4 linked regions of the Astyanax mexicanus genome follow. The protein of the gene in region 2 purifies or fractionates together with the protein of the main gene of each other region. This does not show direct contact. Links are inferred from orthologs where the notes say so. Each region holds a gene or a part of one and is shown on either strand. Other genes may lie near its edges. The genes, in order: patj, pals1a, lin7c and amotl2a.

Evidence for each region.
Region 1: the proteins of pals1a (region 2) and patj purify together in Homo sapiens (co-immunoprecipitation; 5 studies listed by BioGRID and IntAct, counting the BioPlex papers as one, with this or other methods). This does not show direct contact. The link is inferred for Astyanax mexicanus from reciprocal best matches to the Homo sapiens genes PALS1 and PATJ.
Region 3: the proteins of pals1a (region 2) and lin7c purify together in Homo sapiens (affinity purification with mass spectrometry; 3 studies listed by BioGRID and IntAct, counting the BioPlex papers as one, with this or other methods). This does not show direct contact. The link is inferred for Astyanax mexicanus from reciprocal best matches to the Homo sapiens genes PALS1 and LIN7C.
Region 4: the proteins of pals1a (region 2) and amotl2a purify together in Homo sapiens (affinity purification with mass spectrometry; 3 studies listed by BioGRID and IntAct, counting the BioPlex papers as one, with this or other methods). This does not show direct contact. The link is inferred for Astyanax mexicanus from reciprocal best matches to the Homo sapiens genes PALS1 and AMOTL2.

The regions. Positions count from the first base shown.
Region 1 is NC_064423.1:15,520,987-15,528,921, forward strand, and holds the start of patj (inaD-like protein), read left to right. Parts: upstream 1-4,930; 5' UTR 4,931-5,201; intron 5,202-5,551; 5' UTR 5,552-5,588; intron 5,589-5,677; 5' UTR 5,678-5,733; intron 5,734-7,267; 5' UTR 7,268-7,310; coding exon 7,311-7,332; intron 7,333-7,829; coding exon 7,830-7,935.
Region 2 is NC_064421.1:29,477,970-29,485,052, reverse strand, and holds the start of pals1a (protein PALS1), read right to left. Parts: upstream 3,007-7,083; 5' UTR 2,876-3,006; intron 2,696-2,875; exon of another isoform or gene 2,612-2,695; intron 1-2,611. Other genes in the region: gphna (gephyrin a), read right to left, coding at 5,988-6,121, 6,612-6,708. UniProt on the Homo sapiens protein: Plays a role in tight junction biogenesis and in the establishment of cell polarity in epithelial cells.
Region 3 is NC_064430.1:6,993,681-7,001,140, forward strand, and holds the start of lin7c (protein lin-7 homolog C), read right to left. Parts: upstream 3,008-7,460; 5' UTR 2,876-3,007; coding exon 2,839-2,875; intron 1,022-2,838; coding exon 903-1,021; intron 1-902. UniProt on the Homo sapiens protein: Plays a role in establishing and maintaining the asymmetric distribution of channels and receptors at the plasma membrane of polarized cells.
Region 4 is NC_064412.1:48,138,320-48,146,221, forward strand, and holds the start of amotl2a (angiomotin-like 2a), read right to left. Parts: upstream 3,006-7,902; 5' UTR 2,832-3,005; intron 1,240-2,831; 5' UTR 1,157-1,239; coding exon 435-1,156; intron 179-434; coding exon 1-178. UniProt on the Homo sapiens protein: Regulates the translocation of phosphorylated SRC to peripheral cell-matrix adhesion sites. Required for proper architecture of actin filaments.

The sequences.
Region 1 (7,935 bases), on a different chromosome or scaffold from region 2:
CTGTGAATGGGGAAGGAAAAAAAAAAAAAAAGTCACAATTTTCCATTTTTCAATGGCATCCATTTGGATACACACAGAAAAACTGGTGAGTTTATGCCATTAGGGATCTGAAAGAATTGCAATTAATTAATCCTCCCACATCTAGTAATTTAAACATAATTACTGTTAATCGCCAGTAATAGTGCTGATAATTGGTCACTGAAGGGCTTAAGCGTGTTGATTCCAGCACTGATATCAAAAGAGCTGCCTGCGGAGAGCCTGTTCAGCCCTGCCAGGCAGGGTCTTTAGAGCTGAATGGCGCAGTAGCTTGAAGGTCAGTCCAGACCAGGTGCAGATCTCGGAGAGAACGCCTGCAGGACTGGCTCAGGCTCTGCATGGGCTTGCCTTTCACCTGCTCCGCTCAAACACTCAAAAAAAAACACACAAAAAAAAGAGCCCAAGAAGAAGGAAAAAGGAAAGCCTTCATCCGCCAGAGTCTTTTGTATGTCTGCAGGTGCTTAATTGATAAGAATGGCCTTAAAACATGGAGAGAAGGAGAAAAGGAGCTCCTCACGCCACATCCTGCTTCACTCTGGAGTTTATGTATAAAGAACTAGCTCCTCCAGGTGAGATAATGTTAGCAGTGTTTATTTTCTCACATGCCAGTTCCCCTCGGCTCTATTCAGTTTTTGGAGATTTGAAGAGAAGAAACACAGACTTCAGGAAATTAGCGAACTCTCACTTGTACAGTTTGTTAACAGATAAAAAGAAAAGAAGAGTTAAGCATGAAAATTATCAGAGGCTGTTTACAGACTTTAAAAAGTCCAGCCCAAAGTCTGAACTAATGGATAATGTGTTTTTTAATACTGTAAAGATTTTGGTCCGGTTAGTTTTGGTTTCACAATGCAGTTTACTAGTAATTGGTATTACTATTAAATCAATAAAAATCAATTTGACAAGTTGCCTTTCCAGATGTTGTGCCAAATCTAACTCTCTTTGAGTGTATGCAAGCTAGCAGAATGAGCACTACAGACCACTCACAAATATACTTTATTTCTGTTTATACATAAAGGTTTAAACTACAGCTATTGTAGATACAGGAATCACCATCAGTGTAATGCTGTCCCTACATATACAGTATAATAATAAAGATGCCATTGGATAGAGCCGAACATGAGGGTTGAGCTGGCCTTGCCCATAAGTAAAAGGTACTTTTTTTATAGTTGCGTATATGGATGACTGATATCATATGGTTGAAAGACTGGAGCAAAAAATAAATAAATAAATAAATAAATAAATAAAAATTATATATATATATATATATATATATATATATATATATATATATATATATATATATATATATATATATATATATATATGGCAAATAAAATCTGCCTCTGGAAGAGAAATCATGGACAATATGCCCACAATGCTTTGATAAGCTAAAAGAAAATATTGTGCATGTCGGTAACATTCTATTCTACAATTTGTTACACTTGATAATTAACAGTTTACTACCAACACATTTAGGAGGACTTACCGAGAGCTGGATAACCCAAATAGAAGCGGTCTGCACCGAGCCATCCCAGGAACAGTGACAAAGCCACAGCTACTTTGTAAGAATAAACACTCCTAGTCAAACAAAAAACAAAACAAAACATTATCACAAAATATTAACCCCAATGAAATCAAATTCTTTTAGATTAGTATTTACTATAGACATTTAGAGGGAAGAAACTCACACATTACGACATGGAACACTTTTATTAAATCCAACCTCATCGCCACTGAATTTGTACTTGGTCCCATTAGGCAGCAAACAGCTGATGTTTGGTGCAGGAAGACACTCCACTGAAAAAAATAACATAGCATATTAGCTACTAGGGCTGGGCATTATGGATCAAAACTAATATCTGATTTTTTTTTTTAATCCCATAAGGTAATAACAAAAAGACACTTCCAAGACAAAGCTACATGCTCCAGATTTTACACAGGCAGTTTTATTATCCTGTGTCATATCCTGTATATTAGAACGTATTAGTGCTTAAAGGGAATTTAAATTACACTAATTATAAACAAGATTCTTCAAATAAAATGTTTGTTTCTTTTTTCATTTAAAGTACCTTAAAAACAACATCAAAGTGTGATTTTGGTAAAAGAGTCTTAAAGTGCTTAAATAAGTCATTTAAAAAGTGCAATTTGAGTTTTCTTTAAATCTGGGCAGAAACAGTGACAGGTCTATTCCTATACCTGTGTGTAGGAGCTGATTGGTCAGTTCAGGTTAGAGTGGGCATGACAGCTCTGAAGATAAGTGTTTAGTTTTTGTAGTGACGCAGGTTTTGAACTGCCTGTGTTTCTCTGAAATGTCGAGTTCTGTTGTCACTATGTGTTTTATATAAAATGCTCTGAATGGGCTCCTGTGTGCACCACATTTTATTTAGGAAGCGCGGGATTGGTCTGTAATTTTCCTGCACCCTGAAGCCTCCACTGAACGGTTCTGCTGCTTAAAATAAATTTGGGGCAATGTCTGGGTGCGGGAGAACTGACAGAGCTAACTGGAATGCAGTATAGACTTTATTAATACAAACCATACTGTTTGATCTCGTATGAACATATATTTTTATAAATCTATTTTGCCCAGCTCTATTATGGACAGATTTGACAACTGGCACACTGCTCTATACTCTTAAGTCAACAACAAAAAAAGCATAGTGACAGATGCATTTTTAATGATCATCAGTTATCATATGAGCTCACCCCATGCTATTAGATCCTTGCAGTTCTCTGGTTCTTGAGTTGCATCATTTATTATAGGACTTTTGCAGATATACCTGAATATTGTCAAGGAGAAACACAGACTGGTCCTGTTACAGACAATACTTTCAGCACTAGAGCATACAGTTTTAAGGTTTGCTGTTTTATCACATCTTTTTTGATTATACTATATTGCACTCTAAAGGATCTTGAAGTTTAGTTTAAATGTTCAAAAAGTTGTTTATTAATAAATATCAATTAAAATGGATATACAAAAAATAATATATCTTTCTAGCTCTCTGTATATTTATCAATTAGCTATGCTGATGAGCACTTCTCTTTTCTCTTCTTTATCGTACTGATATTTTCTTAATTATTAAAAAACTTCATATAAATATCAGGCAAAGATAACCTGAGTAAAAATAAAAAACACTTTTTAAATGATAATTTCATTTATTAAGAGGGAAAAAAAAGTTTGTGTTTGCCCCATATTCTGAAACAGGTCTGGGCTCTTATGTTTTGATATTATTTTTACTACTACTATAATGATTATTATTATTATTACTACTACTATAAAAAAATATTACTTCAAACAATAGACTGCATGCTTACAATTAGAATTGTGTATAGGGCTGTAACAATAAATATTTTATCAACTTATTATGCAATAAATTGACATAACTTCTATAATGTTTTACTCACTTTGACATTATATGAAGACCCATTAGAATGAACAAGCAGGGATGTAATTTTTTTTTTTTAATAATATGTTTTTTATTTTATTTAGATATTTAGGACATTCTATATTACAATTCCAGTGTATGGATATTTTTTTGTTTAAAATGTTCTCTTAAACAATGTGTACAATAACGTGTATTATGATATAATATGTCTTCAGAATGGGGGGCAGATCGTGCAGCAATTTAATATTATGATTCATTCTTAATTCCACTTTAAAGGGGAGCTAAAATTAGCTTTTATTTATATATATATATATATATATATATATATATATATATATATATATATATATATATATATATATATATATATATATCTATATATATATTCCATTCTATCTTAAATGCTGCAGCCGCTGAATCTGTTGCACTACAATCTATGACTAGGCTTTACCCTTGATTGAGAATATACACCTGAATGGAGGCATACAAATAGAACTAAATTCTTACCCAATAAACCCTCCCAAAGTGTTTGCACATAAGGATGCAGACATATAAGTTATGTTATATTTAAATTGCTAACTAACTTCTAGATTTAGCTACTGGTTTGTTTGTTCATGCTACCTTTGTTTGACAGCACAGAACGCATTAGCCTGGCTAGGTCAGCTAACGCTAGCTAGCTAACATTTTAATTAACAAATTTGCATTAACAATTTTTTTTGCCAGTATAGAACCCATTGGCTGGGTTAAGTCAGTACAGCTAGCTACATAACCTAACAGAGAAAACACACATTCTAACTTAACTTAGCTAACATTTAATTTAACAAATTAGCATTAAGAATTTTTTTTTTAGCAGCACATAACCCATCAATTTTCTAGGTTAGGTCAGCTAACGGTAGCTACATAACAGAGATAACACACATTTAAACCTAGCTTTAACATTTTATTTTACAAATAACTAAATTCCAGAACTGATTTGGCAGCACAGAACCTACTAGCAGGGTTAAATTAGCTAAGGCTAGCTGGCTACAAAACAGAGAAAACAAACTTTGCAAGGTTAATATTTTATCTATCAAATAAAGTACATTTCAGGCTTTGTTTAATAGCAAATACCCAAATACACGCTAGGTCAGCAAAACAGAACCCTACCTACGTTATTATTGTGTTGACAACTAACCTAGCTAGGTTATATCCATCTAGCTAGGCTAGGCTAAGCTAAGCTAAGCTAAACCGGATAGCTAGCCTGTTTCTGCAGCGGAGAAAACACACAAATCCTCCACTCAAACAGCGGAAAAAAGGATACTGTCCGGGGCGGAGATGTTCACAGCTATCCACCTGCTCAGTAACGCTGTGAATTAAAGTCCAGCAGGAGGAGAAAAGCACAAACACGAGCTGTTTCCACCAGCAACAAAACAGCCCGCTGCTGGGTGAAGCCATGTTGGAGGCGGCGGTGGTCACGTGACCCGGAGAGATTTTTTTTTAAAGAGACAAAAAAAAATCAGCGAAAGGAAAATGCAGTTGTTTAACCCTCTAAAGTTCTAGTATTTTTATTTGCACTTTAAATGGTTTATTTAGACAGAGCAGTCGCCTTATTTAGTTAAAAATGAATAAAAACTAAAGAAACAAACCTTTACGCTGATGAAGTTGAGTGTGAGGGGAGTAGTTAACGCCAGCTAAACTTCACCACCCGTTTAGCACAGCTAGTGGAGCTAGCCAGCCTGCCAAACTTACTAAATAACATGTTAAACAGCAGTTTAAAGCCTTGACGCGAGAAACAAACTCCAGGTTAGTGGGTTAATATAGTTAATATACATTTTCAGCTTGGTTGCTGTGTGATAAACTGGTTATTTCTGCGTTTACCGGCGTGTAAAACGTGTTAGAGACTAATGCACCTGTTGTACTGTTGTGTGTTGTGTACATTAGCTAAGCTAGCTATTTGTGGAGAAAGCGTTTAACCGTTAGCTGTTTTGTATTAATCCAACATTATTGACCAAATGCACTACTTATTAAGTAACGTTAACGCTTCGCCCCGATCATGTAGGTCTTGTTTATTGTGTTTAATGTAGTTAAACAGTCTTTTTCTGGGTATGTGAGCTTCTCTCTGTTACTTAACTCTACCTGCTTCCTGTTTTCAGGTGAGGCAGCGCAGCTCCTCTCACTTCCGTCAGACAGGTGAGCTCGGGCGGATGAAAACAAGTGAAATCTCAGCTGAAAGAAGCTCAGCGTTTTAACTACAATACTGTTTTGGACTTTATTTACAGGAACCTCCAGCTTGTTTTAAAGCTATAACTGAAGAACTTCGGCGCTTAAAACCTCGGTAAGTAGTCAGAGTTCGTCTTGTTTTACTTAGTTTAAACACAGCTGCTGTGGCTAATGTGTTATTTAACCGCTAACTAACTTAGCTAACCTGGGTTAGCTCACCGAAACTGAGCTGTCTGTTATGATATAGGAAGTCTCCTAGGTGTTAAGAATCGACATTTCTTCCTGAATAACTGTTTTCTCTCATTGTTACTAACCTTTATTGGTGTTAGTGTAGTGTTGAGGTGAGTCAATGAGATATATATTCTTGAATATATTCATATTAATCTCAAAATTAGCCGAATAACTATTTTATCAGCCAAACATCTGACTACAGAGATGACCAGCATGTTTTAACCAGTTGTTTGGGTGGTTTAGCTAATTAGCTAGGTTAGCTAATATTATTTTTTGGACCTTTGTATCAACGTGTTTAACCCATAATTTCTAAATATTGATACCATGCGTAAAATCTAATCCGATCAATCTAATCAGATATATTCAGTGAGCAGCTTATTAATGTTTTTTTGTTATTATTGTGGGCACATACCGAGCCCCTAAGGTGACATCATATTAAAATAAAAATACTTTGTGGCCACAGCTTATTAAGGTGTGGGAATGAGATCCTGAATCTTGGCTATGACTTATTAAGGCGTGGAAATGAGATCGTGAGGCACGGACACAACTTATTAAGGCGTGGGAATGAGATTCTGAGGCATGGACACAACTTATTAACGCATGGGAACGAGATTCTAATGTGTGTGATTATTATTAAGATTATTAAGGCGTTGACACAACTTATTAGGCATGGTAATGAGCTCCTAATGCATGATCACAACTTATTAAGGCATGGAAATTAGATATTAAGGAGGGGGTACGAGATCCTAGGGTGTGACCGCAACCTATTAAGGTGGGGGAATGAGATCTTAGTGCGTGGGAACAAAGTAATTAGGGTGTTGCCAGGACTTATTAAGGTATGGGAATGAGATCCTAAGGCATGGCCATGACTGATTAAGGAATAGGAATGAGATTCTAAGGAGTGGTCACGACTTATTAGGGCGTAGAAATGAGATATGTTCGAATTGTGTTAAAAGGAAATAATTAAGGCGTGACCACAACTTGTTAAGGCCTGGAAATGAGTTCATTAAGATGTGGCCATAACCTCTTAAGGTGTGGGAAACAGATAATTAAAGCATATATAATAAATTAATTAAATCAAGGCCATTAAGGCGTGGCCACAAGGTCCTTTTGTTTCACAGCTAACAAAGCAAGCAGCTCTCCGGGGTTGTGTACAATATGACTCTCTAAGGAAGGTAAATGGATCTGCATAAATCTTGATTTGTGTTTATCTTTGTCACTCATCTCCTGTTACCTGTTGCAGTGTTGTGGTACACAGGAATTCTGATTTACCCCGCAATATCTGTTTGCTGTTTTTAATATTGTGGTAGATCTACCAAACAAACCTTTGACTTTAAACATGTTTAAAAATTCATATATAGGTACAGCCGGATGAAGAAAGGGTTGTTAATGTTGTTTTTCTGTGTTTGTCCTGACAGATTTATTTACATCCCTCTACATTAGGCTCTCCGGGGAGGAGCAATGTATGAAAATGTGCCAACAGGTAAAAGGATTATGCCACATTTTAGTGATACCTAATTAACAGTATAATAAATGCAAACATAGTTTGAGCACACTTGGCTAAACCGATTGTTGATAATTCTTAAACAAATGTATGTTTTTTTTATTTGCCTTTCTTACTAGCATATGAGCAGAACTTGAAGATGTCACCTTAATAGTCTGCACTTTAGAACGTTCAAGCTTAAAACAATTGTCTTTTGTTTGTTTTTTAGAGCATGTATAAAATCATAAAACCTGTTCCAAATTTTGCACAGGCTATATTGATATCTTAAATGTATTGTTTTGTTGATTTATTATGAAAGGCAGACTAGCTGTATATATTTCTCTGATCAATTTTAATATCAATTTTATGTTAAAACAAAAGATTGCAAAAGATTTCCTTAATGCTGTTTAAATTTTACAGTAGTAAAGTCATTATTTCATAATTGTACTTAAATCATAACTCTGTGTCTTTTTATCTCTGTGTCTGTGTGTGTTCAGTATCTGCAACCGAGCGGCAGCAGGTGCTTCAGGCCTTGGAGAGGCTGCAGTCGAAGCTGGTGCAGCGTGAGGAATGGACTCATAGTGAGCGTCTGGGAGCGCTGAA
Region 2 (7,083 bases):
GCCGAGCTATATTAATCACAGAAATGTGATGACAGATTGACACCACTGTGCTAGTTAGAGTAACTCCTGCTGTTAAAAATAATGTGTGTATTATATCTGTTATGATAATCTGTCACCAGTTATGATGGTCAGATTACCGGCATATACTTTATCGTCATAAAGTGGCACTCGGATGAGTAATACTGAAATACTGAAAATGTGTTTAAATATCACTGTTATTAAAATATATTCTCTTGTGAACAATATTCATACTAAATTATCTAGTCACAAATAGCCTACATTCAAACTTATAATGAGCTGATTCAACAGGGCCAAGAAAAACATTATAGAACTCCATGCCACAGAGTTCTGTTAAACTCAGAACATCATAAAACACCATAAAAGCATCAAAACTACCCTGAGATATTATAATACAATAAAAAGTCTAGTCAGTCCTAAACCACACTGTAAGACAATTATTATAACTGCATTGCCATACTATTGGATCGGGACTCCGTATTGGCAGATACTCAAAATCAAATGATTTACTCTAGGACAAAAAATGTGATTGGGACATTCCTAACTATGACAGTTTTTAAAACAAATGCAATATATTTCCTTACATTATCACTATTATATTGCAATTTATTCAATCACAATTCCTGGAAAGTGATATGTATTCTATCTTGCCAAAACACAGCCTAACCAATGACTTCATCCACTTTACATCTAATGACTTCTGCAGACCTGTATCTGGGGTGTGGCTGAGTGAAACTCAGCTCATGTCTAAGGAAACTGCCTGATGTCTGAGAACAATGTCATTTCTTACTGGAGAACAGTGAAGCGGTGAGTCAAAAGGTCTCAGGAAATACTGCTCTCAGGAAACATGGACAGGAAAAACTACAAAATCTACTAAAGCAAACTTTCTCTGAATTTGAAATTCTATCAACAACAATCTTTGAAATCAAGGACATTCCTTTACATTCTACAAACTGAACCAAACAAATTGAGTGCCATTATCAGCTGGTAATGCACGGTAACCGAAGCTCTCCATGTATTACTCTGCCACATGCAGGTAACCTAGCAACGATGCAGCACTTACAAGGCAAACAGCGCAGCTACAAATGGAGCAGTAATATAACTATTTTAACTCTAAGTGTTTATAACCAAACAGATGGTATTTTCTCGTCCTCTTTAGCTCAAAATCTTTCCATAAACAGCGATAATGGAACTGCGGTATAATCACAACAATACATTCGAAGGTTCTGCTATAATGTGTAATATTGGCACTGCTGTGCTGCAGTCTTAGGCATGAGTGTATTATTGCTTAATTCTATCAGTCATTGCTTAATTATATCAACTAATCGTTTCAGCCTAATTCCAGTTCAACATTGAACATTTTCAGCTTGCCAAAAATAAATTTTCACCACAAAACCATTTTTTATTTTAAATTAATTTATGGCAATATGTAGAACTTCAAAACAGAAGGCGAAAGTTGAGTAGGGGAAAATCTAAGATATTGTATTGGTAACATTTTGTTTTATTATTACTGTATTAGAGCACTCTTGGTTAAATTGCAAAATTTCTTTATTTTCTAAAATGTAGAGAATTTACATCCAGACAAAAATAAACATGCTTGAACATCATGGAGTATAATTATAATTCAATAACTTAATTTAACATTAAATTAAGAAAATTAAATATAATGTGGCATGTGCAAAAGTAATGGTAAACAAAATTGTAGAGTATTTTGTTTTGTAAATGGCTCATTGTTAAAACAGGAATTGTGTCAAGGTATATTTAGAATATGTATTTATTTATCTGCACTCAGTCTTATACAAGTCCACTACAAAAATAATCTGTATTGTTATTCGTTACAATTATAAAAATGTTAGAAATCATTTTAAACTCACATTATCACTAAAGCCAGAGTGAAAGATGCTCTGCTCTGTCACTGGGTTTGATGAAGCTGCTGCTCATCAATGAGTGAATCAAGAGATTTAGCTGATCTAATATGAAAACCATACTGCTCCCGTTCTGCCCTTTCACTGCTTTCTTTCATATCTATATAACACAGTACTGTACTTTTACTTTCAGTACTTCAGCACTACATTTTACTATAAACTACCTGCTGCAGCTCTTAAGTACAAAACATGTGAAATACTTCAGTATTCATGGGAATTAAAGAACACTTGAACTTCTACTTAAGTTAATAACTTTTTGATGGATAACGTTTAACTTACTCATATCTGGGTTTCTAGTAGTTTATACACCTTTATAAATTACATCGGCCGGGGGCGCTGTGCTGTGAGTAGAGTACACTTGTAAATAAGCATAAGGTCGGATTAGACATTAAACAGCTAATTAAAGTTTTGTTTAATTTAGCTAGGGTTAGTTAGTTAGTTAACTATGGAGGTTTAGGGGGGGAACACTCGAAATTACGAGTGTTTGTAAGAATTAGTTCGCGAAGTTGTGAAGAGGCTGTGTTGGTGAAACTCAGCCCCGGGACGGAGCAGCTGTGGGTTAAATTAGCTGGTTAAGCTAAACTATTCACTTTACTGTTTAACGACTCGCGGAGAACAAATTCAGCCCCGTTAATGTCAAGTAATCCCTCAGAAACAGGAATATTTACCAGAAGGAAGTGTTAAAACAGCGCGGTGCGCGCCGTGAGTCCGCCCGCTCCTTTAGAAGCGCTGAAGAGTTTACAAGTAGCTGCTTAGCTAACAGGCTAACAAGCTAACAGGCTAACAGCGCTCCCCCGCCCGCCGCGCGCGCCGCTCCTGGCAACCTGTCGCGAGGGAGCGCAGAGCTCGCGAGCGGAGCCGCGCCGCCGCACCAAGACACTAAACACTGCGGGCCGAGGACTGAAAGAACAGCGGGGAAAGTTGGTCTTTACCTCTCGGGCTAAAATCCGCGGAGACTTCCCGGTTTTAATCCGTATCCGCCGAGTCGCTCCTCACATACAGCAGCGCAGCAGAGCGGCCGCGGCCCGGGCTCGCGACATGTTGTGGTAAAGTGAGACGGGGAGGGGGGGGAGGGGGGAGAGGGGGCGGTAAGTGACTCTGCAGCGCCCCCTCGGGTTCAGACAAGAACATATATTTTTTTCCAAAGCCTAAACAGTTTTACAACACTAATCTGTTCATTTTACTCAAACATATACCTATAAATAGCAAAATCAGAGAAACTCAAGTAGTCTCTTACATATAAATATATAACATTACAGCTCTGGAACAAAAGTTTCTGAACCAGTTTCTCTGATTTCGCTATTTATAGGTAGATGTTTGTGTATCAAGAACATTTGTTGATTTATTCTATAAACGGCAGACAGCATTTCTCCCATATTCCAAATAAAAATATTGTCCTTTAGAGCATTTATTTGCAGAAAATGAGAAATGGTCAAATTTACAAAAAAGGCGCAGAGCTTTGAGACCTCAAATAATACAAAAAAAATCATATTAATAAGCTTTTAAGATCAGAAATAAATATTTGGTGGAATAACCCTCGTTTTTAATCACAGATTTCATGCATCTTGGCATGTTCCCCTCCACCAGCCTTACACACTGCTTTTGGATAACTTTATGCCACTCCTAGTGGCTTAAAAAGAAAGTATATATATATATATATATATATATATATATATATATATATATATATATATATATATATATATATATACCAACTGCACAGTGTTGGGCATAATGAAAAACGCCCTCTTATCTAAACTTTGCCATAATACTAAAACTGGAAAATTCTTCTGTATTCCTGAGTAAAATTTTATGTTATTCAGTGGGCGGGCAAATAAATAAAAAAATAAAAAAATATATAAATATAAATAAATATATATATATATATATATATATATATATGAATGCTTAAGAAATGAAAAGGCACACAACCAGTGTCACCACTAAGTCTAGACAGTTCCGTAGGTGTGACTAACAGGATACTGAGAAGGACTTTTAATAGGACAGTCTTACTAAAGACAACCCACATACCTTTACAGTGGAACAGTGCTGCACTACAATTCAGGAGTCTGATCCATCTTCAGGAAGGTCTTTTGTGCCTTTCTAGAATAGAGAGCTGAACCCTGCCTCTAAAAATGGTCTGGGTTTTCCAGACCTTATCTTTACCTCTACTGTACCTGTTAACTGTCATTTCTTTATAAATATCTGAAACTGAGGAAATTATATCCTAAAAAAGCTTCTCTTGCTTAAGACATAAAAAGGAAATCTTTGTTTAAACATTTTGCCTTTTTGGAGATTGGCTCACCTTCTACTTACCTGGCTTTTTACAGTAACAGTCATTCGGACCACAAGTGTTCTCAAAATTGTGAATGCTCCTTTCCATTTGAAAAACAGAACACGGTCAGAAACTTCAGCCATCTTTCAATGTTTATTTTAAAAAGAGAAACTGAACCACATGTTTTTTACAGAATGATCAAGGATTTTAATTTCATCAGTTTGAATATCATTACAGAAAAAAAGTTATTATAGTACAGAGTTTTGTCTCCTCATTGCTTCAATATATTCCATAAGGAGTGCTGGTCACACATCTGTACATCACCACTCTCGTGTTCGTTGTCTTTTCTATGTTTGTTTGTATATATGTTTTGACTGTACATTATATATTTATTTATTTAGGTTAAAAAGGCTGTCAGCAATTAAATAAGCTGTATTGTCCTTTTAAAGTCAAAGAAATAAAAGGTCCCAGCTCCCTCAGCCTCTAGGAGTGGGTGGGGCTGGTTAAAGAGGTGGGGTATAGGGCAGGGTTGGGAGTAATAAGGGCGGAGCGATGAAGAGAGATGGTTATGATGGATGTTTTGGACCGAGGAAGTCTGCCGGACCGACCGCTCCAGCTCTTTCATGTGTTTCAGCAGCACAAATCGAACATGTACCTTCCATATAATCAGTAGCTAGGATAACAGAAACTGCACTAACATATGTGCATTTTACTACTAGACACAGCAGGTAAATGTGGACCAAATCCAATGTTTTACATTATATGGGTGACACAGATGTGTCATTTGTGAACAGTAGGGCTAACAGGGCTGATGATTATTTTGGTAGTCAACTAATCTAATAATGATTCTTTTAATTAGTCGATTAGTCAACATTTAACTGCTTTAATTAAAAAAAAAGAAAAAGCTAAACTCTGGATTTAAATGCCCATTACAAAGCGCTGCTGTTATAAATTAACCATTAGTCCACACTGATAAACTAATCAAACGTTTGTCTCTCAGTTTCATAACCACACTCCACTCCCTCCCCGGCCCAGGCCTTTGGCACCGCGCACATAAACACGACTCACGAGATAAACGACAAGCAAAGCAGTTCTGTGAGGCCTTTATGAAGTGCAATGAAGCTTCAATGGAGCATACAGTATAATACTAAAGGGAAAAAAGCTGGGTCACCTCGGTGCACCGAGTGGTGTTGAATGAGTCCGATAGAGACGGGAAACCGAGAAAAAACTCTGCTGTCATCTCGAGCGGTTCTGTCCCTCAAAAAAAAAAAAAATAAATAAATCTTTTCCAGTGATGTAATCTGGACAGGCGCATACAGCTCTTTATTAAAATGCTACTGCTATCTATAAGGTCTAGCACTGAGCACACAAAAGCAATTGCGATGAAAGACAGAGGAGAGTTGCTTAATATGATGATGATAATATATATAATTATATTAATCATTATATTATTATAATATATTACAGAATAAATCTCTTTTCTTTCTTATATATATATATATATATATATATATATATATATATATATATATATATCTTCTTTAAAAGGTATATCTTTCTTTCTTTGAAATACTAGGATGTCTTTGAAGTCTTGAAATACTCATAAATTTGTTCAGAAGTTTTTGTTTCAAAATGTTTATATGATTATACTTGATCATCATTATCCAAATCGATAAAAACTTGCTGTGCCGTTGCATATTACAGAGTAGTAAATGATATGTGGACATGCACCACTTCGCTCTGGGCTTACTGGTCCTCCTAAGACAGCATCATAGCCGTCCTATGACCATCACGTCCACCACCTCTCCTTTGTGCAGCTCCACGTATTGCTCTGTTTTGGGAGGCAGCATTAGAAGTCCGTTGGCACTGCGCATGCTCATCAACCGACTGCTCATCTGGTTTCCTGAGAGAGGGAAGAAAAAAAAGAGCGAGTTAAACCGGTTTTAAGATAAATTACATCCAAACTGACTCCTCTTCAGACTTGAGTCCTTTTTACACACTGTATCTGTATCTGTTCTCTGTATACTTTTTTATTCTCTTCCTTTTATCCTGTTCTTCAATCCTCAGGACCCCAAAGGTGGTGGGTCGTAGCACTGCAGTGATTAGCACTGATTAGCATGGTGGTGGTGTATGAGGTGTTAAGGTGTAAAGACGCACCACCCAAATAATTATAGCTGCTCTGTGGTAGTCTCTCCTATGGGGCCTCAAGTATTGAAGAACAGGGTAAAAAAAGGAGAATAATAAAGTATGCAGAGAAACAAATACAGGACTACCCCTCAGACTTAACTAATATACAACTGAAATATATGGTGGACAAGGATTGGTGTATGTTCCACATCTAGGTGCCACTGTAACCAGATTATTAATTCTGATTAGTGTAAAGTCTCCCCTACCTGTGCTCTGTGCCCAGGGCAGAGGCTCCTGGTGATGCCACGTTAATATACAGCGATGATACTCCGGACGGGGGTCCAGCTTTACATCACAGGACAGCTATGAAGAAAAACATAATTTATTATGAAACCCGAGCACAAAAAACAGAGTCTAATACGGGCCAACAAATAATTGAGTGCAATTCAAATGTACAAACCATGATAAACAACAAACTATAACCACCATCCTTGCTGAACTGAACTTTTATTTTACTAAACTTAACTTTTATATTATTACAGTGGTATTAAAAGTTTGGGCACAACTGAATATTTTAAAATGATTTTTCTTTATAAATTGGTGGTTCGGATCAGCAATTTCAGTTAAATATGTTATGTAGCAGATGAACACCATGATATCTGAGAAGTGAAATAAAGTTAATAGGATTTACAGAAAGTGTGCAATAATTCTTTAAACAAAATTATTTGGAGGGCAGTA
Region 3 (7,460 bases), on a different chromosome or scaffold from region 2:
GCTATCGGTTGTAGAGGCTGTTAGTGTGACTTTAATTGGTCTTTCCTTTTCTAGGACAAACATAGCCACTCCTATAAAGCCTTTTAGCCTATGGCTAATTACTTAAATGGATTCTCAGCATACAGGAACATGTTTCAGTCCATGGACAGAGCAATTCTTGTCTAAAGCATATAATGCCTTAATGTTTTAAAAGCCTACATGTACTACAAAAAAAACTTCTTAAAATTATATTTCAAAAGGAAAAAAAAAAAAAGTTCATAATTACTATAATGTAGGAAGGCCTGTCAAAATAACTACATTTTATTTAGATGATGTACTAGTCCAAACGGCAGTTAAATGTTTATTGTTTGCTTTTTAATGCATATTCCATTAATTTTTTTATTGTCTTCTTTATGAAGTTACTTATTTTAGTTAAACCTGATTATAACTGATTTTAATTTTATTTTATTTTCCAATTTCCTTTACGTTGTAAATATTTGGTTTCGTTAAAAATTAGGACTACCTTTAATGTTTAATAAAGGTTCATTAAAATAAACACAATGCACAATTTTTTGACGTCAGTAAAAATAATTAAACAATTATTATACAATGGGGTAATAAGGTAACTTTCATGGCCGGTCTATTTGGATGGTTTGTTGTTATTGCGGAGACTAGAAAAATTGTATTTTTTAGATATACAAAACACAGAAAAGTGAGAAGTTTCTAAATAAATAAATAAATAAATAAAGTATACTTAACATCACTAAATAACTGTAAATGGTTACACAAAGTCGTGCAATGAAAAGTAAAAAGTAATTTAACCAGTTTCTTATGATTTATTAACAATATTACTGGAATCATGGGTGTAACTATCCAATATCAGTGGGTCTAATGTTAATGAAGAGTACTCAAGGTGAGCTTACCTCTCGTACAGCATTGCAAAATTCACTCTGCAAAACCCTCTGCAGGGCTTGCAGCTTCTGAGGGGGTACTTCCCCTGTCCTCTGGAGCTTGTCCAATAACTCAATGGCACGAGAGATATCTGTGAAAAGATATTTTCAGTGAGGCAAGACCAGACAACAAACCAGGAGTACCAATTAATCTAAATCCTTCTGGAATTTTTTTATATAGTTATTTTGTGATTTAGGGAAGTCAACAACAGGGCTGGGCAATACAATTAAATATTGTATCAGAAATGATATAAACGATATTTAGCATCATATTTTCACAGTCAAGACTAAATGCATCAGTAGTAGCAGATTTTTTTAATAAAAAAAAAGGAGATCTGGGCATTTTACAGCCTGAGGACGACATCGGCCCTTGCCTTTCCATACCCAACCCTTTAAATATCCACCTCACAAATTTAACTGGAATTCACTTCACATATTGAAGCCCCCATTATAAAACTCACTTCAAACTAATTTTTAAAAACAGCAATTAATTAAAAACAACTACATGTGTTTCTCAATGAAAAAAATAAATAAATTAGGGATGTGGCATATTATACCGTATGTTATATCATCTCTAAATAAATGCTGATATTCATTTTGTTGAGTAGAGCATTCTATAAGTATGTTTTACATTATGCCACCATAATAACTATTTCAGATAAATATTATCTACAAATAAATCTTTTTGAATATTGTGAATGATATTACACCCTAAAATATCGTGCCATATTACCCACCACTAATTATCACAATATAATTCAGACTGTTCTCATTTCCCATTATACATGTACTAGAGAATGATTATATCTGTCTAGTATCACTTATTTTACTTTAATCCTGGATATATGGAGATAGTTGGAGTACATTATTAGTATCTTGACATTCTGGATCATTGACTTCTGTTACAAATCTGATCAATTTCTTGTATTTTTTCATATCTCAGTTAGGGGTGTACCATATCATATCATATAAGCAATATTTAAATGTTATTTTCATTTTGTTGCAGTAGTGCATTCTTGAAATACAATTTTTATCGCGAAGAGTATAGTTATCATGAAAATACCACAAAATACCATATCGCCCACCCCTAAGTTATGCTATACATTAAAACTCAATTTATACCCATTTTTCAAGACATTTTCAAGTCAAGAGGCTTTCACTGTCATTACATCTGAATACAGGTATACTGTTTAACAAAATTATATTACTCCTTTTTTTAAAATAGGAGTAATTTTAATACATTTAAAAAAAACTTTTTTTTTAAATATAAAAACTTTAAATTAGAGGTGTGCCATATCATAGCGTATGCTACAATATCTCCAAATAAACGTTAATATTTATTTTGTTGCAGTAGAGCATTTAATAGCTATGCTAACTATAACGTTACTGTATGCCACCAGTTTAAAAATAATAAAATAAAAGTAATTTATTACAACAAACTTTGTGTTCCTCAATTAAAAATCTATCATATTACCGTTATATGCTATTATATCTCCAAATAAATTATAATATTCATTTTGTTGCAGTAGAGTATTCTATAGCAATGACAGCTAACTTACACATTATCCCACCATAAATCTCACGTTTACACAAATTTTTCAAGACTTTTCCACATTTTCCAAAACAGTAATCGACTGAACTGGTTAAATGATACTATATTAGTGCCTAATTAACATTATAATATATTTAAAGTGATAAAAACAGTAGTTTTCGGGCTGGTTTAATTCAAAAATCTGAACTAGAACTAAGCTAAGCTAGTCCAGCTGACAGTGAGCTACCTGGGTTAGCTTAGCTTAGTTTAGCTAATAGCCTCCAGCAGCCCCGGAATAAAGCTTATCTCAGACAGCAGGCTAACTGCGCCTCTCCAGCCTTTAAAACACAAAATAAAGCACTGAAATACACAGTTTACCTCTTTCCAGTCTCACAGGTTCCCCCAGCGAGGCCATGTTACCCGGGTTTAGTCCGCTAGTGCCGGAATAAAGGCTCGGTCTCAGCGCCGCGGCTCCGCTGCCTGTACCTAAGCTAGCTAATGCGGAGAGATTACAGCGGGAGGCGGGCAGGATCCTCGCTGCGCACGGTATGCGCATTCCTTTTGTAAACACAAAGTATTGTTTGTGTATGTGTGTGTTAGGGGTGGGCGATACGGCCCTAAAATAATATCACGACATCTCATGGTATTTTTGCGATAACGATACTTTTGGCGATATGAGAAAACACTGAAAAAAAAAAAAATATATATATATATACGTATATATATATATATATACGTATATATATATATATATATATATATATATATATATATATATATATATATATATATATATATATATATATATACATATATATATATATATATATATATATATATATATATATATATATATATATATATATAATTTAGAGTTTTCATAAAAAAAGTTTGTTTTAATAATTTAGTGTTTTAAAAAGGAGTAATATAATTTTGTTACAAAGTGTACCTGTACTCAGATGTAATGATGGTGGGATAATGTATAGCATAGCTTAGGGGTGGGCGATATGTATTTCAAGAATACACTACTGGAACAAAATTAAAAATAATTGTTATGATTGCATATGATATGATATGGCACACCCTTAACTGAGATTTGTAACAGAAGTCTATGATCCAGAATGTCATGATACTAATAATAATGCACTCCAAATATCTCCATATATCCAGGATTAAAGTAAAATGAATGATACTTGACAGTTATAAACCAGTAGATAGATAAAGGGAAATGAGGACATTGTGAATTTTTCTTTTAAAAGCAAAAAAGTAGTACCCTGATAATTAGGGATGCGTGATATGGCACATTATTTCAGGGTATTATATTGTTCAAGACATTTAAAATGTTGGTGATATTATTGCGTGCAATACGATATGGCACACTTTAGTGTGTATAGATTCTCAGTCAGCTTTATGAGGAGTCACCTGGAATGTATTTCAGTTAACAGCTGTGCTGATCTAGTCAAGAGTTAATTACTTGAATTTCTTGTCTCTTAATGTGTTTGAGAGCATCAGTTGTAAAGTTGTGAAGAGGTAGAGGTACAGGTATACAGTGAATAGCTCTATTTTAGTAATGTTCTAATCCAGATTATGACAATAAATACTCAACTAAGTAAAATAAAACAGAATAGGGCTACCTAATCAGAAAAATCATTACAATGGACATCATGTATTTTCTTTTCCTTTTTTAATGATTTGTGGCACAAAACAAAAATTTAGACCTGTTGTCCTTCAGAATAGACCACCAGTGTCCAGACCTAAACCCCATTGAGAATATTTGGAGAAGGCTTTGTGCAGGCTTTGTTGTGTATTTTGTATTGTAATTTTTTCTTGTTGTTGTTGTAATGATTTGGCAATATTGTTATAATTAATTACAGCTTTGCCTTTAAATCTACTTTTAATCTGAATCAAGTATTTAGAGACTACCCACTTCATATCTCACCCTTTATATCAGCAAATTACTATCTTACCGCTAGAGGGAGCCCGCGAGAGAGTCCTCAATGAATGGGAGTGAATGGAGCTAAACTGCTAAAAACAATATTTCAAATACTGTCTAACTACTCATGCATGATTTTACTTTCATTTTAAAAAGTAAAATAAAGTATTTCACTCAGAAAGACAAGAAAACCTACCTGTATGGATCCATTTTTCTATAGTACACATATTTTGAACAGTAGAGACGCTAGCATTATGCTACTTAGTACTGAGTGACTGGCTAAAACTCTTATAAATAGAGTTGAAAAGCTTTTAAAATGATGTGTGCTGTGCTGAAACATTTAATATGGCTCTGTTTTGAGAAAATTAGTCCATTTATCAGTAAAAAATATATAAAACGTTTATAAAATGTGTTTTTGCTCAATTGCTCCATAGGAACCCATTCATTTTGGACTGGAATCGCCCTCTAGTGTCTGACACACCTGAAACACAGCATTCTCAAGTGGATGATATTCTCCCACTCTATAGAGATTCTATTAAAAATAAAACAGTTTATAGCATGTTTGTAGCGTTGGATAATGATAGGAACCTAAATTAAAGAGTTTTAGCATATGTTTCATGGTTGGAATTAGGTAGAAAATGTCTAAAATAGGGAATACAGGGAGAGTTTACTGGTGTTGTATTAGCTAGATAGCATTACCATCTACTGGCCATGAGGCTAAATTACCTCCATTGTATGGATTTTAGATTAGTATTTTTGATTTATCTAAGAATAATGTTCTAAAATAAGATAAGTTATTTATTTAATTTAATTGTATTTTGTTATTATCATAAGAACGCAGGAATATCAGCAGGATAGCATCATATCTGTCTCACCATCAGAGTTAATCCATTTCCAGTACTTCCAGTTCCAGTGGTACTTAGCAGGCCAGGCCTTCATCCATCATCCATCATCCTGCTCTGTTGCTCTGTTCCTCTGGTGTTATATTACAGCAGCAAACTGCACAGACACCATGTTTTAAGAGCCGTATAATTCAGAAACGGACAGGCTAAGTGTGACCTATTTCTGTGGCATATGGGACAGGGCTCTGCTGGCTCTTACCAAGCACTGCCTTTGAACTGGGGACAATCTGAACTTCACTAAAATAACTCAGGAGATATGGAACCGGGCTCTTGGTCAGTGGGAGGTGTAATGTTTAGTGTGAAAATGGCTCTTGGCCTACCTGAAGTGGATTTGTTCTCATTTTTATTCAGGTTATTAGTTAGTTATTAGTTATGTTAGTATTGCAACTGACACAGTTTGCATGGTTTAAAATAACACTTTTACCTGTATTTAGAGGGTTTGAGGAGGGTTATTGATGAAGGTCCTTGAGAAAAATGCGAAGGTCCTTGATGTCCTTCTTTAGGTGTGTGCAAATCTATAGTCTATAGAAGCTCTTATGAATAGGTAGTAGGTGTAAGGACATGTGTAATACGGTAGTAATAATGTAATAATAATAATAGTAGTATGAATGCAAATGGCACAATAATAATAATAATTCATAGAGTATTATCATTATCATAATTATAGTCCTCTTACAGCGTACTACCCCAACATGATTTCCTTTGATATTTTTAAATATTCATGAGCAACGGAAAGAGTAATTATTCCTACATTGTGCCTTATCTCCAATACTGCCTCAGTGTCAACACTTCAGACACATGTGTCTGATAACAATCTATGAGTGAAAGCAGGTTTGCGCTCGCAGATGGATCAGATATCAAGTCGAGTGGATGAGTGTTGAATGCATTGATCTCTTTCTTTTTTTGTTCTCCTCAAAGATGATCTCCATCAGCGATGGAAACCTGTGATAGCCTGTGACCAGTGACTGGAGGGAACCACCACCGACTTCAGAGCAGATCTCAGTCTAGCGTGGGCTGAAGAGTCCTTACCTGAACATGCTGCAGGAACTCCCAGGTCACCAACTCCTTGGTGAGTCAGGTAGTGTGTGTGAAAGACGTTCTGAGAGGAGGTGCAATGTTTAATCTAGCCTTAAAAAAAGAGAGAAATCTGGTGTGGAATTGACTTGTGTTGATGAATATGATTAATAAGTAGGAACTTTTGTTCAATAGCCCACCTCCATCTTCCCTTAGCATTATATAATACAATGCTTTTAGCTGATGCTCCCAACAGGATAACAATGCTAGCATTAGAGGCATCGCTATGTTTATATCATTAGCAAGGCTCAAAGTAGCTCTACACTTTATTAAAAAACTATATATATATATATATATATATATATATATATATATATATATATATATATGTATAAAATACTGTTTATACATACAGTACCTTGTAGCCTCGTTAATGCTGTAAAAATAGCCATTTCTTTGCATGGGCGACACTATGCCCCTACCACTAGCATTGCAAGCCAGTTGGGAGCATCAACTAAAAGCCCTGTATTTCAAAATGCTGAGGGTGAGCAGAGGTGGGCTATTCAACAAAAGTTTATAATCATTATCATGTTTCACTATAACAAAAGCCCATTTCACACCAGTGTTCTCCTTTAATCTGGATTTCCGGTTTCAACGTTGCTCACAACCAGGTTCATAAAGGATTCTGCCTCTTCACAATAAAAGTCTAGTTTTCAGACACAGAACATACTATAAAGTATGGCCAATATTCTGTAGAATTGGAAACTAGTCCAAAACTAGCCTCAATCTCTGACAAGCAACACCAATTTACATATGAAATAATATATTATAATAATATAGAAGGTAATCTTCTGTTTTCCGATATCTGTGCTGAATTTAAACCTGCAAAGGGAGAGCTCAGACTTTATTGACATTGCTTTTTTCAGTTTTTCAGTTGCCTATAGTCATTTTTATTTCTTCAAATATTTCAATTTAATATTGCAAACAACTTCACAACATACAAAATGAATTATATTAATCCAGAACATATCAATGAATAGATTTTATATATATTTATATATATATATATATATATATAGTTTTTATAGTATTTTTTCTTTCATTTCGTGGGGATAAAAAAATAAACAGCAAAGCTTTGACAACAGCACCTT
Region 4 (7,902 bases), on a different chromosome or scaffold from region 2:
TGCTTTCTCACTGTAGCTCTCCACCTCCCTTCTCAGCTTCTCATTTTCCTTTATGAGTTGTTCCATTTGAGGATTAGGAGCCTGGATGCTGTATCCTGCGACGATGACCTCCTGGCCAGCAGGGGGCAGTGTGGGCAGGGTATTGTTTCTGATCACCTGTGACTGGGCTGGTACATATCTGGAAGAAACAAACCAAAAATCAGGGTTGGTATGCTTATTTAATTTACTTTTGCAAAAAACGTGTATTATATGTGATATGAAAAGATAGACCTGTCAAAATAATTATGTTAGCAATTTATCTTACAGAATACGAAAATGTCATTTTTGCTGACAGTGATACTGGCAGTTGTGTTAACTTTGTTATGAATGTTTATGAATGTCAATATAACGTCAATAATATTGTCTATTCCAATGATCAAATATTGATTATTTACCTGTGGTGCTGCGAGTGGAACGCCGGAGGGGGTTCTTTGTAATAGTGCCCGTTCTCCTGCGAATGGCTCAGCATATATCCAGGGGATTTAACGGTAAAGGGGTACTCCGGAGGTGGCCCGCGCTGATCATGCCCGTGATCAAGGACAGCAGCACCAGCGTGGCTATGCCCGAATAGCTGGGGGTAACTATGCGATGAGCTCATTGGCATGTTATCATGAGCACCGTTCCTTTCCAGGGAAAGCTGCATGAGGCGCTCACTTAGTGACCTGGCATGCTCCCGTTTGAGGTCCCATGTGCCCTGGTCCTGCTCGAGCCCCGAATCTGCGCCGGGGGTGTCCAGCCCACCCTGCTGCAGGCCGGCCTGACCCCTCTGAGAGGCCAGGTACTGTGAGTGGGCCTTGGCCTCCTCGTAGGTGGGCAGCTCTTCCGTGTGGAGCTGGTACAAGTGGCACACGGGGCTTTCCGAGTGCTGGTAGTCCCCCTGGTGCTCCTGACCCTGGGGTTCCTGTCTCGTGGACATCTGGAGGAACTGGGACTCCTCCTGAGTTAGGCTCTCCAGGGACGAGCGAGGGCTGCCAGCGCCCCCGCCGCTGCCACTGCCACGCAGGGCCTGCTGTTGGATGGCCAGGAGAGTGCGGGTATCCGTGGGGTTGCCATACCGAAGCTGTTCCTGGATCAGCCGGTGCAGCACCGTGCCCGAGGACTCCTCCGCGGTTCTCATCTCAGTCAAGGTTCAAGTGTAGTGCCAAAAGAATATAACACTTGACGTGATGATTGAGCGATTATGTGGCTTGACCGGTCAACCTGGGTTTAAAAGTTAAAACAATTACAAACATTAGTAATGAAAATAGCATGATAATAAAATTATAAAAAGTATATATATATGTAAATAAATAATATTAAAAACTAAAAATAGCCTGTGGTTCAGTGGATTATACTCTTAAACATTGTGTGTAGACCCACACTTAAGTTCAGTTTAGTACAACAAACTAAAATTGGCCTATGTTTCAGCAGGTAAAGGCAGTAGTTCTTAAACTGTGGTCTGTGTCCCACTGTTGGTATACCAGATGACCTCAGAAAATGTGTGGAATGCACTAAATAAAAGTAATATCTGTTGTTTTAATGTGTAACTTACATAACAGTTGTTTTTGTTTAATGCTTAGCTGTAGTTTAATCATAGAGCATCATTCAAAAAGAGAAATTTAGGTTGTGAAATGGGTTTCCCTCCAGTCCACATGCCCCCTCTAGAGCAACAACACCACCTCAGCCAATAAAAATCCCACATAAACCCCCTCAACCAACTACATTATGGCTTTTCACAAATATCCTCACACATTCACTATCAATTTTTGCTTGTCATTAATTTCATAAAGGTTTTTTGCACTAGATTACAGCTTGTGAAACACAGTTTCACACACAGACCCAACATAACCAACAAAACCTCCAGGTATGTGTAACTTGAGGCAGTTTGACCTTATGGCATTTACTAGAGTCTGAGTGAGACTTCTGAACCTGCATTTGCGTCAGTCTTTTCCTGCTCCAAATTCCTCTCCTGTAGCCTCACCTTCACGCAACTGAGCAAACTCACATTATTGAGCAAGCAAATAAGGCCTCATTTACAGCAAATAGTGCCAGAGTATTCCACACAACCCCAGATCCACATTTAACAGTCCAAAAAGCTGGACAACATAGGAAACATTGGAAACATGGGAACGCTTTAATAGTTCTTGGTACAGATGTTGTACTAACTAGATAATAGGTTAGTATTTTGTTGTATCACAATAAATATAGTTTTATGAACATACAATAAATATTGGCAGTGCTAAAAAACACTGATCCACTGCAAATCATAGCTAAACTGTCCAAAGAAAATCATGTATTCCATATATTGTCTTTATAAAAGAAGGAAAAGGTCTTCTTTACTTTATGCAATAAAATGGATAAAAACGTTTTTTCTTTTTTCAAACATACTTGATATATCATTACAGAAAGTGTAGCTAATTATTAGTGTTTAATTGGATTTTAGTTTAGTATATTTGTAATAAAATAACTATATTAGCTAAAAGTATTGGAAGCATCTGAATATTAGTTTTCACAAATCTGATTTTTTGTGCATGTCAAAATATTGCAATAAAAGTATTGTGATACAATATTATATACCATATCGTCCACCTCTAGCTAAATAACTAACACAGCAAGCTACATTCTTTAAACAGAAGTAATAAAACACAGAAATAACAGATAACTAGTTTAGTGAGAGAACAGAAATAGGAATCCAGTAAAGGAAAATAGATAAGATACACAAATGTATGTTAAAAAGAAAGCGAAAATGAGCTTAAACTGAAAACAAATACACATAAACCCGCAGTTTGTGGCTGTTTTACCCCAGAACTCACCGAGTTACTCCGGCATCCCTGCAGAAATATGAAGTTTATGAGGGTAAATGCTGAGTTTTAGATCCTTTAGAAGTCTGTACAGCTCGGCGGCTGTGTTTATATCCGTGTTAAAGCTGCTCGCGGGCTGTGCTCGCGCTGCGCTCCGGCGGCGGACTGAGGCCGGGGGGAGGAGCCGCGCTTATTAAGCGCTCGCGCTGATTGTTCTCCGGCTCCGGAATGTCAGGAATGTGAAGGCTGCGGGTCCCACAGGGATTCACACAAGCCCCGCCCACCGGACCAGGATTGGCTGCTTGCGTTCCCGCTCCTCTGCTGGGATTGGTGCAGAGCTCAGTGCTTATATGTTGAGATATATTTTATTTAATCATGTTTATTAATGATTATATTTAGATTTACTCGAGTTTTTAACCACTTTTTCATATATGAACAGTTTTTTACCAACTTAACAAAGCAACTAAAACATTTATTTATACATATTTAACTTCTATTTAGGAATTTCTAAAATATATATTTAGATTAATTCTAGAACAATTATGTAGATCTAGCTTAGATTTACAAAAAGATAGTTAGTTTATTTATACTTAGCTTTAATCCATCTATTTTCAATATATTTGTATAGTTTATATTTCGTTTCATAATTTTATTGCTATTATTATCATTTTCTCTTATTTTATTGATGTTTTATTGTAAGTTTACATTTATTTACATATATGTTTTCTTTGTGTTTTTATTGGTGATCGTATGAAATGTGCTAAATCAATAAAGTATTGTATAAAAATATTATGCAGCCAAACATACACATACATTTTTATTGTGGCTGAACTTCATCTAATTAAACAGCACTAATTACACTGGCTGTAGTGAAATGGTAAGTTTGTCAGGGTTCTTGAAGCAGAAATTATTAAAAGTATATTTTGTATAATTTCTGAAGCATTTCTGCTACTGATGGATTCATTAGAAGGGGTGTCCACAAACATTTGGACAGTATAGTGTATCTGTAGCGTGAATGGCAGGAATGTTCCATTAGGTGTGAATGGGTGCAGGTTAGTTTGGCATGTAGGCCTATATGTGTGTGTATGTATATGAATAGAGTAAACATGAATAGAAGGAATGTTGACTCCTGTTTTCTCATAGATTTTTAAACATTACTGTAGAGATTTAATTGCTTTCAGTGACAAGTGTTACTGAGAGCAGAATGTTGGATGAGGACAAAGGCAGCCATATGTGTTCAACATAATTTGTCCTTTATTTCACTGCTCTATACCCCCCAAATATTTTACACACATCTACACAAGGTATGGGTAAGTAATAGTTATTTATTGTTTACAGCATTTGAACACACCAGCTGCCGTTCACATTGTGTCCAGGTTTTTACATTGACTTCCACTGGAAGTTAGAAGTGGTTCAGAGAAAAGTATCCAATTGTTTTATTCCAAATAACTTTGAGTCATTTCTATTAGTCTATTCACCATATCATTTGAGTTTAAATGGGTTTAAATAATAGAAAAAAAAATCAACAAAAATGGAGATACATGCTTTTCACACAAATCATATCTCGCAAACAGCTACTTTTTTGTTGTACAAAATTACAGGAGTAAGAAAAAAGGTCAATGTAAAAATATGTTATTTCAAGCCATTTTGAAGTGTTTCTATTGGTCCAATTATCATAAAATTCCAATATAAAAATGATAATGTTTAAGTTCACATTCTGAATTCTGAATGCTTTGCCACAGTGCAATTTTCCTATTCATTTCATTATTAAAAAAAGAAAACACTGTTTTTCACCAATTTAATCTATTTATTCTATTATGTTGTTTGCAGCACATATCTAAAAAAAACTAAAGAATACTGAAACCTCCTCTGTAAGATTAAAGCGGTATATTTGAACAGGAGTGTGTATGGTGAGTGTGGAATGTGTTGAATGAGAAAGCTGGTAAAGTATTGATTTGAGCTCTTTTGTTTGCCTTCAGCTGGTGAATATTTAAGCCCTGGCCCGTGCCAGTTAATTGCTGAGTGTGTGTCTGTGTGGACAGTGAGGGAGGGGTGTGTGTGTGTGTGTGAGAGAGGCATGCTGCCTGCCAGCTGTCTCTGGAGTGCACTGGTCTACCCCTCCTTAATAAGCTTTCAGATAGACGCATTGTTCTTCCCACAGCAGAATTACAGGGGAGAGTCTACCATCTGCTCCTACATACACCATACACCACCATACACACCCCCCACACCATACACACACCATACACCATCCCCCTACAGACCCCTCTCACTATATATCAACGTTTTTTACACAACCCAAAAAAAAAAAAAAAAAAAAAAAAAAATATATATATATATATATATATATATATATATATATATATATATATATATATATGTGTGTGTGTGTGTGTGTGTGTATGTGTGCATAATGTTTTTGTATGACGTATGTTTTTGTAAGAATGTATGATGATTTTATTCCAAATAATTCAAAGTATTTTTTTTATTGTTTACATGTTGAAGCACACAGAAAATACTGATGATACATATAGTGACCATCCAGCTTGTTATCAGCACACAGCATGCCATTTAAAACAGAAAACATTTGGTACATTATAAAAGAAAAAATCTGGCAAAAAAAGATCTAGCATTATTGAGCAGCTACAGGTAACATTCTTAGAATATTTAATCTGTTAAGTTTTCTGGATGTTCTTAGAATATTTTAATTTTACACTTTTAGATATTCTGGTAGCGTTGCTGCAACATAGTTTGTGTCAATGTTTAAATGTTTCGTTTTTATTAACATTTTCATAATGCTAGTATTCATCTAGCTGGGAATGTTGGGTGAAACATTCAAATAGCATTGTGATGCAAACCATTATTATGTCACACTTTTCAGGACATTCCTGTGAGTTTATTACTGTAACATTACAAGCTAACTGTCCTAGAACCTTTTCAAAACCTTAATAAACATTCTTATAACATTCTCTATTATCTGGGTTGGAACTAAGTGTTTATGATGAGTTTAATAGACATCAATGTCAACATAATTAATAACTTTCTATTAAAATTTTGGTGGTGCAAGAGTCACACTAGAGTCTGTTCACCTGGGATTATTTTAAAAGCTCCTGTAAGTGTGTAGTGTGCAGTTGTCCCAGTACCTTTGTCCAAAAAGTGTGTTTCAGAAAATCAGAATAGATCAAATATAGGCCATATCTTTTTTGTAGGACACTTAGCTTATAAGATGTCCTGTGCAGCTGCTTACCTTTGCCTAGGGCAATAACAGTGCCTGTATATAAAGTACGTAAACACTACATACGTACTGTAAACACACTCACCTGCACGCACACACCCCTATACAATCTACAGAATGCAGGTGCTTTGTGAAAAGGAGAATAGGACTGATCTCAGTTTTTGCAGCACGTAAAATCAGTCCATTTAACCCAATACTGAGTCCAGATGGTTAGTGAGAGGCAGCTGTGTGTAAAGCAGCATGTCCTCGCTTGTTGATGCTAGTGAGCAGTTGGTGTGCCGGATGTGTGGATCCACTGCAATCATATCACCACATGGATCTGCTTTTACCAACATCCTTCAGTTAACAAACTAAACCCACCCAAGAACCGGATCATCAGCAAACATTTCACTCAGAAAACGCCCGGAGATAACAAAAATCACTTAGTTAACAGAGATAGCATTCTCTAAGCTGTTTAAGCTAAGCTAAGAGATTTTAATCCAAAATCGGGTAATACGTAGTGTTTATTTATCATTAACATTTCCCTGTAGTAATGTATTGCCAATAGACTAGAAGAAAATAACAAACCAGTGTTAAATACATTTTAGATAATTTATATTCTACTAACATTAAATGATAGAAGGGATATATATATTTTTTTTCAGGAAGAACTATTAGTACTATTACTATTACTAGTACTATTTTTCAGGAAGTACTATTAGTATTATTAGTAGCTGTACTATTAGTAGCTGTACTCACTAACTCAGCTGTACTCACTAACAGAGAACGCTATGAGAACGCTTGGCAATGTTTTTAAAAAGGGTCTAGGAAGGTTAGCCTGTAATGTTATTATAAAATAATATTACAAAATGTTCAAAAATGTTCTAAACCCGTGTGATATAGTAGTAGTATGTATAATAAAGGTTTGCTTTACAACATTATTAGAATGTTTTTTACATAACGCTCAAAGCTAAATAGAGCTAAACAAAGCCATTTCTATTGCGCCATTCATCATAAAATTTATATACAATATACTGTATCAGATAAATGAAACAGATTCCTTTTTATGTTTAAGGGTAATGCTGAGTATATCATCCATTTTCTCTATCCCACTCATTTATTTTAATTTGAAGGTGATGTTGACTTCAATACAAACTCTCTGCTTGTGATTTTGATTCAACAGTGAGGCTCACTAAATTATGTTGCTTTAAATAATACTTTGGTTAGTTGGGGATCGGGGTGGGTTAGTGATCATCCACAAACCTGACCTCACTAGCAAAAACAAATCCTCACAGCAATGCTCCAAAATCCAGTGAAAAGCTTTCCTGAACAAAAGAGACCAAAGGATCAAAATGTGGTCCAACAAAATAGATTAATTGATTCATGGTCTGGTTTGTTTGCAGTGTAAAAACTCTTTTGTAAATGGTTCAGGCTTTTGGAACAATTACAGAAAATTGAGTCAGACTATCGTCACCCATAAAACAATAGAAGAAGTAAAAGAAGAATTGTTGTGCTAAAATATGTTTCCCTTGGGGATGTGCAGGAGCGTTACGCAACAGTATGAGTACAACTGATTACGGTGCTGGTGATTCTGTATCTATTGTAGCTGTAGATCAATCTACAGTTACAGAATCTGATCATTCTGCTGCATGACTCAAAAGGCGCACTTAAAAGGATTCCAGGGAGACTTTATTTGGCAAGCCAGTGTGTCAAACTGACAACATTCCAAACCAGAATAAAATATAGGGAGGCTCTACCCATGTAGTTGATGACGTCAGGATGTAGTTAAGTTGCTTAGTCGCTCAGTCACTAAACTGCTGTGTGAAACTAATCAAAACTAACCAGACTAAATAAGCAGAATACAATGTA